2 linked regions of the Tribolium castaneum genome follow. The protein of the gene in region 2 purifies or fractionates together with the protein of the main gene of each other region. This does not show direct contact. Links are inferred from orthologs where the notes say so. Each region holds a gene or a part of one and is shown on either strand. Other genes may lie near its edges.

Evidence for each region.
Region 1: the proteins of Trmt112 (region 2) and alkylated DNA repair protein alkB homolog 8 purify together in Homo sapiens (co-immunoprecipitation; 3 studies listed by IntAct, with this or other methods). This does not show direct contact. The link is inferred for Tribolium castaneum from reciprocal best matches to the Homo sapiens genes TRMT112 and ALKBH8.

The regions. Positions count from the first base shown.
Region 1 is NC_087402.1:1,185,756-1,193,607, reverse strand, and holds alkylated DNA repair protein alkB homolog 8, read left to right. Parts: upstream 1-3,352; 5' UTR 3,353-3,497; coding exon 3,498-3,602; intron 3,603-3,650; coding exon 3,651-4,724; intron 4,725-5,297; coding exon 5,298-5,867; 3' UTR 5,868-5,883; downstream 5,884-7,852. Other genes in the region: transcription factor ATOH7, read right to left, coding at 1,769-1,822, 1,871-1,964, 2,188-2,423; Ptp10D (tyrosine-protein phosphatase 10D), read left to right, coding at 6,446-6,496.
Region 2 is NC_087394.1:6,129,327-6,135,519, forward strand, and holds Trmt112 (multifunctional methyltransferase subunit TRM112-like protein), read right to left. Parts: upstream 2,920-6,193; 5' UTR 2,751-2,919; coding exon 2,673-2,750; intron 2,564-2,672; coding exon 2,267-2,563; 3' UTR 2,246-2,266; downstream 1-2,245. Other genes in the region: uncharacterized protein LOC656340, read left to right, coding at 1,218-1,319, 1,377-1,596; uncharacterized protein LOC655985, read left to right, coding at 3,209-3,416, 3,463-3,632. UniProt on the Homo sapiens protein: Acts as an activator of both rRNA/tRNA and protein methyltransferases. Together with methyltransferase BUD23, methylates the N(7) position of a guanine in 18S rRNA.

The sequences.
Region 1 (7,852 bases), on a different chromosome or scaffold from region 2:
ATAAATCATTTTTGAAATGGTTTCCTAGAAAACAATTCCCAGTGTTGGCACATCTACACAATGTGATTTTTTGGATGAATTTTAATTTTTTTTTATTAAAAAAAACTGTTAAAGTCTGAAAGTAAATTTAAAAATAATTATTCATCGTTTTGTTACGGAACGATTACCTGGTATGAAACATAAAAACATAAAAAAATAATGAAAACTAAAGAAGTTAACACAATAAGTTTGTAGTACTAGATTTTTTAAAATATTACTTTAGGAATTTTTTCAACATTTTTCCCGTAATCTGCACTTGCTTCTCAATAACGTACCACTGAGTTGGTGCGCCAGTTTTTGAGCACCCTGTATAGAAACAAAATTGTTTATATTTCGTTAAATTTTCTCAAATATAAGCTAAAAATCTCCGAATTTTCAAATATATTGATAAAAATCACTGATAAAATTGGTGAATTGGTTCGAAAAAGGTGTCTTTCACTCATTAACTTACTTTTTTTGAGCAATTACGCACGTTTTTGAATTTCAAATCAAAACGTGATCACTAAATTATTATCAAGGCTAAAATAAACGTACATATTTTGACAAATTTCGTAAAAAAATTGCCGAAAAGACAAGAATTGGTTACTTTAACTAGTTTAACTGATTACTTTTATTAACCGAGCTTTTTTTAGACGTTATTCCATTACATTCATTTGAAGCAACATATCTTTTTTTTAACTAAAAAAAAAACAAATAAATGTGTTACATAAATTATTATAAACGTAAATAAAATATAGAATCCAATTTTGAATTCTTAGAACCGATTTATAGAACCGTTATTAGTTTAATCTGCAATTAAGTGCGCGATTAATCACGTGACCAAATTGAAGCAATTTGGTTGGTCCATTCGCGTTGTTAACTTTTAACAACGAAATAAATTTTAACAGAGCTTTGTGAAGAATAAGAATTATCACTTAAAGTTAAAAAATTATTGGAAACAATGTAACAAGTCGTAAATCGAACTAAAATTTAATTTTTTTTGTAGGTGACTTTAAATTGCGTTGAAATTTGTGTTTTAAAATGTTAGAATTCCGTAGTTCACAACAAAAAATTGGAAAAAATTATCATTTTTTTTTTTTTATTAAAATACCTAATTATTTTACATTTACCGTTATTTTACCGTTTTTATTTTAGTTATTTGTAATTTTTAGTCTCTGAAACGCTTTAAAATCACCAATTTTTCGTATTTTTTTTATAAAATTCGGGTTTATTGACCTTATAATTTGGCAAGCCGTTCGCCCCCGCGTTCGCCAGCCTCCCTTTTCGCACTTTTGCGGTCAGGCCGCAAATCGCCGTTAATTATGAATATTGATTAAGGTCGCTTTGTCCGAAGCAACCAAACAGGATGTAAACATTCCTTACGTGTATGTACATTGACTGTTGATAATAATAAATACTCCCAACTGTAATAAGTGATTAAATGCACGTCCTTGCCAGAGTGCGAGTGATGTCCTTTGCTACGTGAAGATATCCAAAAGAGGCATTAACACCGCACCTCTACACATGCTACTACACAAAAACGTGCTTTAATCACCGCATGCCAATTAATATTTGCGAAATAAATCATTTTTCCACACATGGAATAATAATGCTACATCAAGGGATACGCAATTGGAATGATAAAGGAGAATTGGAGGCAAGGTCGATGTGGGTGCCCTCACAATGATGCATTGTGGAAAAAATTACGATTTTATTTGACTAGAGACAATCGACTTTGATAACAACACGCTCAGAAATTGTAATCGAAGAAATCCCCCTCGAGCTTGTGGGAGTAGTAGTGGGACTGCAATTTTTTATTGTAAAATTGTTATAATTACGGTAGATTGCTTACAATCCAGTTCCGGTCTTGTTCCAGCAATTGGACCAAGGCTTGGATGTACTCGATGGCCTGTTGCAGCGTTTTCACCTTACTGACCCTCTTTCCCCTAGAAAAATCACGCTCGAATTTCACTCACTTTTCTCCGCAATTAGACCGAGATAAGTAAAATATTGTAAATGATATGTAAAATAATCTACACGCTAAGTGGCAATGTATTTTTAAATTAGTTGAAAAAAAATTCAAAGAATATGATTTTTTTTAACTACTAAAATTGCAAACACTTTTCTCTGGTTCCTACAGCTTCCAAATATAGTTAGTGTGCAAAAAACCTTGTATTCTCCAAAGGGACGACCTTCCTCAGCCTGGCAAAGGCCGAGTTGACCGCCTGCACCCTGCGCCTTTCCCTGGCATTTCTTCTGGCGACGACTTGCGCCGGCTTGTCCTTATGGGGCACGTGTTTATATCGCTTGTTGTCTTCGTGTGTCCTTTCAGTAACTTGATATTTTCCGTCGATCATCCACTCTGAATACATGCAAGATGATACGGGGGCTGTCGGGGCCGCCATTGTTCATCTTTCGCGTGCTTTCGCGTGTCTTAACCACGATGGTACTAACCCTTGATCCTATCATTATTATACTATCAGTAGCGTTCACCCGCATACACCTGGCCAGGGCGGAGTTCTAGAATCATCACTTTTTTACGTTCAGCTGGTCAGAGCGTCGCCAAAATCAAGCAGATGAGTCGAAGATTGGATACAATGGGCTAAGACCACCTGGATAATTAACTTGATTGGGTGCCGAGGCAGATGATTTTTTTACAGATTGTTGTAAATGGACGGTTTACAAGGGGGTTATTAATTTGAGGCTTGTTGCCACCTTTAGGTCATTGAGGGGGGCTATTATCTTTTATAATTTTTAACAATAGATTCTCAAGCAGGGACGTGTAATAAAAAGCAAATCTACATATTGAGTTACGTTGTTAAAATTCATTTAAATAATTCTGAATTAGTTAAATGTTATGCGGGCAAGTATCGCTCATTGAATAGCAATTAATTCTAATGATTCGATAGGCAGAGTAATAAACTCATCACAAAACCACAAAAAGTGGTAAATGTTTCTAGCTATATTTCTTAAAATAAAAAATAAAAAAAAATAAATCAATATTTCGATAAAGCACCCTTAATTAATAATCTTATGTTGAAATGTACCACTTAGATGAAACTGAAGAGGTTTGCCGTTTGGATTTAAAGACCTCACAAGTAAAAAAAATCTAAAAAAAATTCGTGTCTTTTACACACATCTTATCAACTTATCATTATTGACAATTCCTAATAGGCATACGAAAAACTTAATTTTTTGTTTTGTGGAAGGATATGGCGTTAAAATTTGGAAATTAATTAATTTTAATTTCTGTTTGAAAAAATTAACATAAACGGACATATGTAACCAGGAAAATACTAGTGTTAAGTGTGTTGCATATATTATTAAAGCCCTTATTTTTTTGAAAAAAAAAATACAAAAACACGTTTATAGTTGTATAATGTATTACAATAACAGTTGGAATCACTAATAGTTAAAATACGCGGCCCCTTTTTTTCCATGGTCGTGTCTTGTTCACCCTAACCTCAGTTTTTGTACCAATGGAATCTAACAATTCCCGCAAAAAACTCATTAAAAAACTGCGAAAGCACCAACACACTGTTGGGAAAGAAACCGGAGTCGTCTGTACCGACAGCCCCACGAAAGTAAAACGCAAAATTGTAAAAAATAATTGCATAACCCCATTTTTTCAGAACCTTGTAATTTGCAATACTGGCCAAATTAACGGCTTAACTGAGGAAATAATCGTTGAACACTTCGAAAAATACGGTCACCTCGACCGCGTTTTACTAGTTCCTGGAAAATCGTGCGCTTTTTTGAGCTATAAAGACACCTCAAGTGCTTCAGAAGCATTGGAGGCTGTTAGCGGTAAATTGAATATAGCCCAAGACGGCAAACCGATTTTTTTGAGTTTTGTTGAGGCTTTGCCTGAGATAAGGGATGCGAAAATTTGGGGGCGCCTCCCGCCAGGTTTGAGGATAATTACGAATTTTGTTAGTGAGGAAGAAGAGGCAAGATTGTTGGCTTTGTGCCAGTTTGAAGATGGCGGAAGCATGAAACACAGATTAGTAAAACACTACGGTTATGAGTTTCGTTACGATATTAACAATGTTGATAAAGAGAAGCCGTTAAGTGAGGGAATCCCCCAAGAGTGCGATTTTTTATGGAGACGCCTTCCGTTTGAATTCCGCCCCAATCAGTTAACAATCAATCGGTACAATCCCGGACAGGGGATTCCCTCACACGTGGACACCCACAGCGCGTTCGGGGACCCCATCCTGTCTCTAAGCCTCAGTTCTGACGTTGTGATGGAATTCAAAAAAGACGAAACGATTTGTGTTCTTTTACCCCGAAGGTCGTTACTTGTAATGGCAGGGGAGAGTAGGTACGAATGGACGCATGGGATCGTGCCCCGAACTTTTGATTTTTACAATGATGAAGGGGGCTGTCATTGTTTCAAACGCGGGGTTAGGGTGTCTTTCACCTTCAGAAAAATCAGGAAAGGGGGATGTAACTGCAGTTACAAATTACAGTGCGATTCGCAAACTGCGACCAAAATTATTGAGAGCGATTTGTTAGCCCATAAGTTGGAAAATCAACACGTTCATGATGTTTATGAGGATATTGCCGGGCATTTTAGCGAAACTAGACACACACCGTGGCCAAATGTTCTAAATTTTGTGCAAAAGCTCGAAATTGGGGCTGTTTTGGTGGACGTGGGGTGTGGCAATGGGAAGTATTTTGGACACAACAGACAAATTGTGGAGGTAATTAAAAAAATAATTAATAAAAATAAAAAAAATTTTTTTGATAATTTATTTACTCATGTAAAAGGTTATTATTGATTATAGCCTGTAAAATGGACAACATAATCTATAAAATGTGCATATTCTTTTGAACAAAAAATTTTAAAAAATTACTAACATGTACTTTCGATTCACTTTGATAAAAACCATTGTGGTGCAAATGACTAACCTGTTACCATGACAACTCATGTAAAAGTTAATGCCAAGAGTACGTTATTTAGACCACAATGGTTTTTATGAAAGTGAACCGAATATATGTAGTTTCGTGGAAAAAACTTAAATTATAAAAAATAAAAATTTAGTTTACGAGAAAGTATCATTTTCTTGAATTGGATATCTCTAATTATGTAATTAAAAGTGCGGTTTTCTGATCTAAAATTCTCACTTCACATTAGCGGTTTTACGAAAGAAAATTCTTTGCAAAGGTGAAATTACTGTCACTCATTTACAGAAGAAAGTTTCTTCTAATTGTTGAACTAATAACAAATTATTCTAAAAACCAAATAAAAAAATCTTGTTCATATTATTTTCAAGTTGGGCACCGACCGCAGCTTCAAACTCAACAACCTTTGCAAACACCGTGGTTTTGAAGTCTTCACCGGCAATTGCCTCAACCTCCCTCTAAAAAACTCATCAGCCGATGCTGTTATCAGCATTGCCGTAATCCACCACTTATCAACACCCGAACGCCGGCTAAAAGCCCTCAAAGAAATCGTCCGAATCCTTCGAATTGGCGGCGAAGCTCTTATTTACGTTTGGGCGAAACAACAAATCAAAAACGACGAAAAATCAACCTACATTAAACAAGACCGGAAAAATCGGAAAAAGGAAGTTATCGGAAGTGTTACCAAGGAGGAAGTTAGTGTGGGGGAGGGTGTGACTTTACCAGTGCACACGAACAGGGCAAACTTCACCCACAGTGATGTCTTAGTGCCTTGGAAATTGAAAGGGGAGGAGCAGGAGCGGACGTTTTTGAGGTTTTATCACGTTTTTGAGGAGGGGGAGCTTGAGAGTTTGTGCCAAAGCATCGGGAATGTTTCCATTGTGAAAAGTTATTACGACCAAGGGAATTACTGTGTACAGTTTGTAAAAAACAATAAATAAACTAAAAGTAAAATAACACGTTTTTACCAATCCTATACAAGAATTGGACCAAAAAATGACATTTATCGAGCTAAAAATTCAATTATCTCAGTTTTTTCCGACCAAAAAGTCAATAAATTAGAGAAAATTATTAAAAATATGGATTAGATAAGATAATCGCCGAGCACTAGATAATTTGTATCGCTAATTGCTGGTGGCCTATAGGCCAGGGGCTCGGATTCGTGTAGAGCCCCCACCTGTTGCGTTTGTTGTCACGCTGGCTCGCAGGTGCTGCTCTCTACTCCTTGGCGAGGTCCTCTTTGAAAGTTTCCTCATTTCGTTTCGGGTTATTGTCAAATGCAATAATGGCGTAGAAGAGCGTAACCGTGAGTGCGTGTCGTGTAATGCCATCACGGATGCATCTCAATTGATACAGAGCCCCCATACCGGACATAATTATGCCTCGTATCCCGCGCATCGCCCCCATTTGAATCCACCGTACCTGTCTCTTCTCTACCCTATATTGTTATATTAAATTATTTGTGTGTGTGTATGTGTATGTTTTTTATTTGTTGTTGTTGTTTGTTGTTGTTATTGCCATGACCAGTGTCGTTTTTTTGCTTGGTGCAGCTTTATTCGGGTCAGTCAAGGTACGTGTTATGGTTCTATTGTCGCTTCTTTTATTGTTTGGTGTTTCCGACACATGTTGCGACGTCCTGGTTCCACGGTTCTCGCTTAGCATTGAAAAAACGAGCATATGCGGCTAAGCCGGAGCTGCTCACGTAATATAAAGATTTTTTCCACAAGTAATGAGAAGAAAGTCGGTTTTTCGCGAAGCGTATTTAAATTAATTATTAATTATGCATTATGTAAGTGTGCCAATTGTCTCGGCTTGCCATTTGGCCTTCGAGGCACTTTCCAATTGGTTTTGTTTACCAACAAGAGGAAATTTTCGGTGATATCACCAACCGAAGGAGTTGTCTTCTCGGGGGGACCACCCACTGGTGTTACAGGTGGTGCTAAAGATAACGGACTGTTGGCACCAAGTCAAGAAATTCAGATCAATTTAAACGACATTAGAATTTAGAGCGCAAGCCGTTAAAACACACTATTTGTTGTTAATTAGTTGTAGTGATAAAAGCCGCGTTTGATAATTTTTCGCATGAAGGAAAACCGTCAAGGTTTACAGACTTTGTTACAGTTTTTATTAATATTTTTGCGGAAATAATTGGAACGGAAATAAAGTTTCACTCTTCACAAATAAACACACTATTTGTTTTGAAAATTTTGCCGAGTTAATTTAATTGTTGTGCAGTTAACGAATTAATAAAACTTGGTTTAATATGGCTGTTGTGGGTTGGAGCCGTTAGATAATTTACTTTAACCGAAATGACTAATGTGGGCGAATCATGAGACATCAAAAATTGAAAAGGTCAAAGCTGTTACTAAAAGAATCAAAATTAAAAGCGAAACATATCAGAGGTGTTCCCGAATCTGTATTTTTTTAGTTCATGACTTGAAATGAGTTCTACGAACACGATAGCATTCAATTGTGCAAAATGATGCATAAAAATGGAATTCAAGAGTAGAGAAAATTAACTATAGCCCTGGCGAAGGTGAAATTTCAAGCGCTTTCAGCTCTTGAAACCCATTAGTGATTTATTTACTCTACTGTCGCTTATTTGTGGAGGTTTCATAATGAGGTGATTAGAAATTTACAAGTTGCTTGTTTCAATTCCCAGCTTTTACCCCAGACTATGGATACCTAAAGGCTAGGATACGAAATGACGTACAAATAAAACGTTCCCTCTTCCCTAGTTCTGCTGTTAAAGTAGCCAGAAGGCGCAGAGGGAGCAATGAATTAAAAAAAAGTGGGATATTTATGTAACTATTAGCACAACACAAACAAAAAAATACAGGCAGATAGAGCATTCTCAATAGAAAGACAGAAACATAAAGCAAAAAATTTATCCTAAACTATGTTTAAAAAATTCGTAAACTTTACC
Region 2 (6,193 bases):
GGCCAAAAAACCTTTATTATTTTATCCAAAAAAGACAACTTTTACACTTCGATGATTTTTTAATTATTTTCTTACTTTAAAACAAGTAAAATCGTAAGATAATTGTTCAAATCGCCCTCTTTTGACCGAAAATGACGAGTTTGTTTATGTAAAAATACATTGATCGTTGATCTAGAATAATTTCTTGCTTGAAAATAGGTCAATTTGTCTCATTTTGATAAGAAAAACTACAATTTTTGCAAGTACTTTGCCGATTTATCGCTTTAAAACACGTAAAATCTCTTGAAAATAGCTCAAAACTCTGATTTTTTTGTCTAATTTAATTAATTTGTCACTAATTTATTCACTGAAATTCGGTGATGTTTTATTAATTTCTTACTTTAAAATGAGCAAAATCGTCTAGGAATAGCTGAAATCGCTTTAGTTTGACTGGAAACAATTAATTTCACACTAATTTTGATAAAATAAATCTATTTAAAACGATTTATTGCTTTAAAACGAGCAAAAACTCTTAGATTTCCCATCCGAAAACGACCATTTTCACACTTATTTCAGAGAATTTAAGATGATTTCTTATTTAAAAACGAGTCAAATCACTTTATTTTGTCCGAAAACTACGCCATTTGCTCTTGTTTCCTTGAAATACGTCGATCTTCAATAATTTTCAACGTTGATTTTCGCATTTATTTTACTGATAAACGTCGATTTTAAACGATGTTTTGCCTAGGAACGAGTAAAATCGCCTGGAAATATCTCAGATCCCTTTATTTTGACCAAGAATGGCGAGTTTTCCATTTGTTTTGCTGAATACAGTGAACTAGAATAATTTTCGAGCTTCAAATTTACAAGGTGTCTCATTTTGGTAAAAAATTAGAAAAATCTCTTAGGAATAGCTCAAATCACCTTATTCATTATTTCGCTGAACTGTGTTGATTTATCAATCATTAGATAAGATTTGAAAGTTCCTTAAATTGTCCGAAAACGACCATATTCACTTTTACATTTTAATTATTTTTTTTATTTATTTTATTTTAAATTATTATTTATTTCATATTCAATTACGAGAATTTGTAAGAAATAAAAAATACATAATTAATTTTAATTGTGTTATTTATTATTTTTTGAAGATTTTCATTTTTATAAAATTTGAGTTTTTTTTGTTATTTTTTTTTCTTAATAAAGAACGTAATTATTTAATTACTGAACACCACTTCTAGACTTGTTGAAAATATGTCACCGGAACGTCGCTCACCAAACATCATGAACACACAAGGGCCTAACGCGGATTTAATAAAAGGACCAAATAGCAAAATCCTTTTGTAAGTTTTTTCTTCTAATTCAAATATTTTTTTTTCTTGATTGTTATACCCCTTTAGGGAAGACTACGTCAATTGGCAAGGGCCTAACTCAAACCACCGCAAAGGCCCCCAAGCCCTAAGTAGAGGCCCTAACCGCTCCCTGCTCTCGCAAAGAACCTACCAAGCTTGTGGTTCAAACCCAGAACTGCGCAAAGGCCCCAAACAAGGCCTTGCCAAAGGCAGCATTTTCTCCCAATTGAAAAATGTCGCAGTTGGGGGCGAGTCTCGGGGAAAGTAGCAGTTCATGTGTACTATTATTTAAGTCGTTGTAAATAAGTGTGCATGCAGTGTTTAAAAAAAAACGGCAAAGCTTGAGGATATTGGCATCGAATTATTCAGATTGATCTGCAATTTCACAACCAAAGATTTTGTTACTTGTACAGTGTTCACAAAAGAACGTGCATCAAGAGTGTTGTATGAATACGGAGGACTATAAGTTAGGAGACGATTTTTTTAACCCAAAAAAATATGGGACAGACAACCATTTTAACTACGCTCTCTGGCGACGTTAACGGAACTATCGAGGACGGGAACGTTTTATTTGTACGTCATTTCTAGATATCCATAGTTTCCCGAAATCACAGCACTCTTGCACGTTTTTTTTAATAAACACTCGGAGCAATGTAGTGATCCAGAAACGCATCCTATTTTTTGGAAGGCTGTGGCTTGTAACTTATGCCGCCCACTTGAAATACCTGTGCCCCCACATATCCAGCTATATCACGATTTCAAGTCCCCTAATGTACCCCAAATATTTTTGTACTGTAAAAATTGACAAGACATATTTACACGCTGTTAGATAAAGTGTGCAATTTTCGTATTTTCTTGGTAGCTGTACAATGTCAAACGCTTTCAATTGTACTGTGTCTCAAAATAAAATGCCTTCATGGTTACTATCACTGTTTTATTTACACCTCGTCCTCATTCAGCAACAAATTCGGGATCCCGTTATTTATGGGAAACTTCCGTCCGGTTTCGGGACAGATCAGCTCGCCGTTGATTATATCGATCTCCAGCAAGGCGTGATGGGCTTTTTTCAGGAACTCGTGGTCGTTTTCGTAATTTTCGACCACGTCCTTCGGGAGCCCCTCCAGTTGGCCTATGCTTTGGGCTGCATTGTAGAGCACGTTCCAGTCCACTTTTGGGATGATTTTGGCCACGAAGTCCGGGTTGAAGTCCACTTCGGACACTCGCACGTCCGAAGCCTGAAATTTTGGGAAAAAAATTGACATAACCTCAAACAACACAAGTCGGATTTAGCCGATTTTAGGGGCGTTTTTCGCCTGAATTGTATTAAAAACGTAAAGTACTCACGTTAATACCAAGCGGGTACCCCACAGTCACGACTTTCATGCATTTGGAGGTTAGCATGTTGTGGGTTAACAATTTCATTTTCCGATTTTTGTGTATTTACGTGTATTTTTCACACCAGTGGACAATTAATTGTTTAAATCGGCCAGTTTTTCGCGTGAGACACTTTTTGCGCTCTTGGATGCTTACCCCATCACTGATTGATTTACAATGAGCTTTTGGTTCAAATTTCGCGCCTCGCTTCGAACGGAACTTGGTGACTCTTTAACAACTATTTAACCGTACAAACAATTGAATCAAGATTTTTGAACCGCCGTAGTTATTTTTTTGAAATTTGTGATTAATTTTTGGTAAGTTTTATCAATGGGGGCCGTTTTTTGCCCAGTTGGGTGAGAAATAGTTGTGGTTTTGTGGTACTTGGTTGAGGTATTTCCGGTGCATCCCAACGCTAAATCCCCAACTCGTCGCCATATTGCAGTTAGTTATATTTCGGCTTTTTAGTAACTTAGAAAAATAACCGTTTGCTGTTGGCGCGTGAAATGGAAAGCGAAGAGAGTGAGCAAATTCAAGAAGTTGAAGAAGAGTCTCAAGATTCGCAAGAATTGGCCGAAATTCCGGTGCATTTAGACGACTCGTCGGTTTCTTACGCCACATTGAGTCTATCAAACAGCAGTTCGAATATCGTTAGAGGAAAATATTACAAACAGACGTATCGCCCAGCATGGGAGCAAATGCCCGATTTTAAAGGTGAGAATTGGGGGTTTTTGTCGAGGACTTGACGAATTTTTCGAAGGTTGGCTTAGAGGAGTCGTTGGGGAACCCACGCGGGCCTATTGCACCTACTGTCAGAAAACGCTCCATGCCCATCGGTTGAGTCTCCTCAAACACACGTGTACTATCAGACACCAAAAAGCGGCACAAATTCATAATAATAGGAAGGTAGGAAAGCGTTCCGTACACAGGGTGAGTCATCAACATCATCATCAAGTCGCTTGTCTTGAGTTTTGGCAATAAACAGTTGGCTTTGTTTATTTGACAATTATTACCACTTGATTCACATTACTTTAAAAAAATTGTTCAAAAAAGCAGGCCCTGGTAGGTTGTAGTCAGGGTTGTGACGTAGATATTGAAACGTCGTTCTACAGTATAACGACGCGTAGTTTTTGCACATTTTCTACGTCATCAATCCAAATAAATTACCGAAAAATTACACTATTTTTTACGTCAAAATTTGGTAGCATTTATTTGTTCTCAAGAAGAGAAAAATGAATCAAAAATGTTCTATTACTAAATACATATCATTATTAATTAAGTAAGTTCTTTTACCATCAGAAATTGTAGTCAGTAAACAGTAAAACAAGACAATTTTCTATTATTTTCTTTATTTGGCAAAACAGATTAGTAATAAACAAAAAATAAAATCTATTCTCAAAAAAAAAATAAATAAAGTCTATTCTCAAAAAAACAAAATAAAGTCTATTCTCAAAAAACAAAATAAAAGAATTAATCTCGAGGAAAAAAACACAACCAATGTTTCTTTTTTAACTGACTTCGTTACTTTCCCGCATCTTCAGGGAGTAATAACAATGCATTATTTTTCTCGAATGATCAGCATCCAAACGATTTCTCAAATCATTGTGAATAAATGCCCAATTACTAAACACACGCTCCAAGGAAGCTGAGCTGGCTGGTATATTGATAAGTTTTAAAGCTACACTAGCCAACTCTGGGTGCTTTCTCTCGGCCAATCCCCAAAAAACTTTTGGGCAACAAATGTTTTTACGTTCTAAGGTTTCAAAAATATCTTCCGAAGAACAAAATTGGTGAAAACTCATTAAACCTTCTGCACTTAAAGTAGCTACCAAATAGTCATGGACCATATCAACCTGGGTTTGATTCAAAGACCTTCCTCTATAAAGAGGATGAAGAAAATTTGATGTTAAAGAGTAAATATTTAGCGCCATGTCTCTTCTTCTTTTCAAAACATCTTCAAACTCCGCAGGCAGTTGTAAATGAGTCCATTTCTCACAAGCATCGGCAATAGTGCAGCTGCTAGACTGACACTCATTAATTAATTTGCAAACCGGGTTAGATACTTCAATTGTTGTTTTAACTTCATCGATGAACTCATCGTCAAATAGTAACTGAATTATTTCTTGTTTAAGTTTTATAGTTTCTTCTGCCGCAAGTTTTTTCATAAATTTTAAATTTTTGATCAAGCAAGAAAATGAGTCTCTATAGGTACACCACCGAGTATCGACAGCTAATTTTATCTTTGATCCTCCCTGACTTTGCAGCTCCTTTTCGAGATTAGGATGTTTAAATTCTTTTAAGATAGTGATTACTTTGGAACATAATTCTTTGGAAATTAAGTCTTTGGCAAGAAGATTTCCTGTGTGACTATTGCAAGTAGTATGCATTAAATCACTCGTCAATTTTCCCATTTTCAACATGTTTGCTGCATTATCGCTAACGACAGCATAAATTTCAGTCTTAAACTTTGTCTTCGCTAGTTCAACAGATAGATTACACAATTCACTTAGCTTTTCTCCCGTCTCTGGTGTTGTTGTTACATCATATGCTTCCAGAAAAATACACTTATCGCTTCTTGTTGACTTCAAAATTGTTACCACTTGTTTTGTGTTATTTGCTGAATTTTTCCACCCATCGATCATCATAACAGAGAATTTACCTATTGAGTTTTGATCGTCTTCATTTATTTCATCATATAATGAATTTAGAATGGTCCCTGACACTGTCTTGCGGCAGGGAGGCTGATATGCAGGTCTAAGCACTCTCAAAAAGTCTTTGAAATGAATTGAGTCTACTACATGAAATGGAATGTTACAACCTACAATAAATTTGCCAAGTGCTTTGTTAATCTCGATTTTCTGATTGTTGCTAACATGGTCTAAAAAATTTTTAATTGTATCCTTTGGCTTGCTGTTGCTTTTTTTAGATATTGACTTGTTAATTATTTTGTGTATGCTTTCTTTTGAAGTTGATGGAATTGGGGATAGCATTCGGGGTGAAGGTGAAGCTGCTATTGATATTGAAGTCAAATTTGAACTCTCAGTATTGCAAATGTTTTCATCATAGTTTAAATCTGATGTAGGTAATGTTAATGTTGATGCCGCACTTACACGATCATTAAATTGTTCATTGCTACAACTTGGTGAATCTTCCACTGAAACTTCATTTGACTCTTCTTCATCGTTATCGTCAGCCTTACTTTCTATTTCTACCAATATGATTTCATCCTCTTCACCCACTTCGGCCACTTCTTTGGATGTATTTTCTTCCTTGCAGACATTTCTGCATTGCAATAAACAATAATTCAGTACTAGTTCTTTATTTATTTAATGTAATACAAACGCATACATACCTATGCGACATCAGTCGTTGTTTCGAAGTATTTTTTAATATTTTATCACACACAAGACAACGTGCTGCAACTTTTCCATTCAGTTTTAATATATCAAACTTTCCAATCGTCCAAAAACTGTGAAAATTTCTTCCCGGCA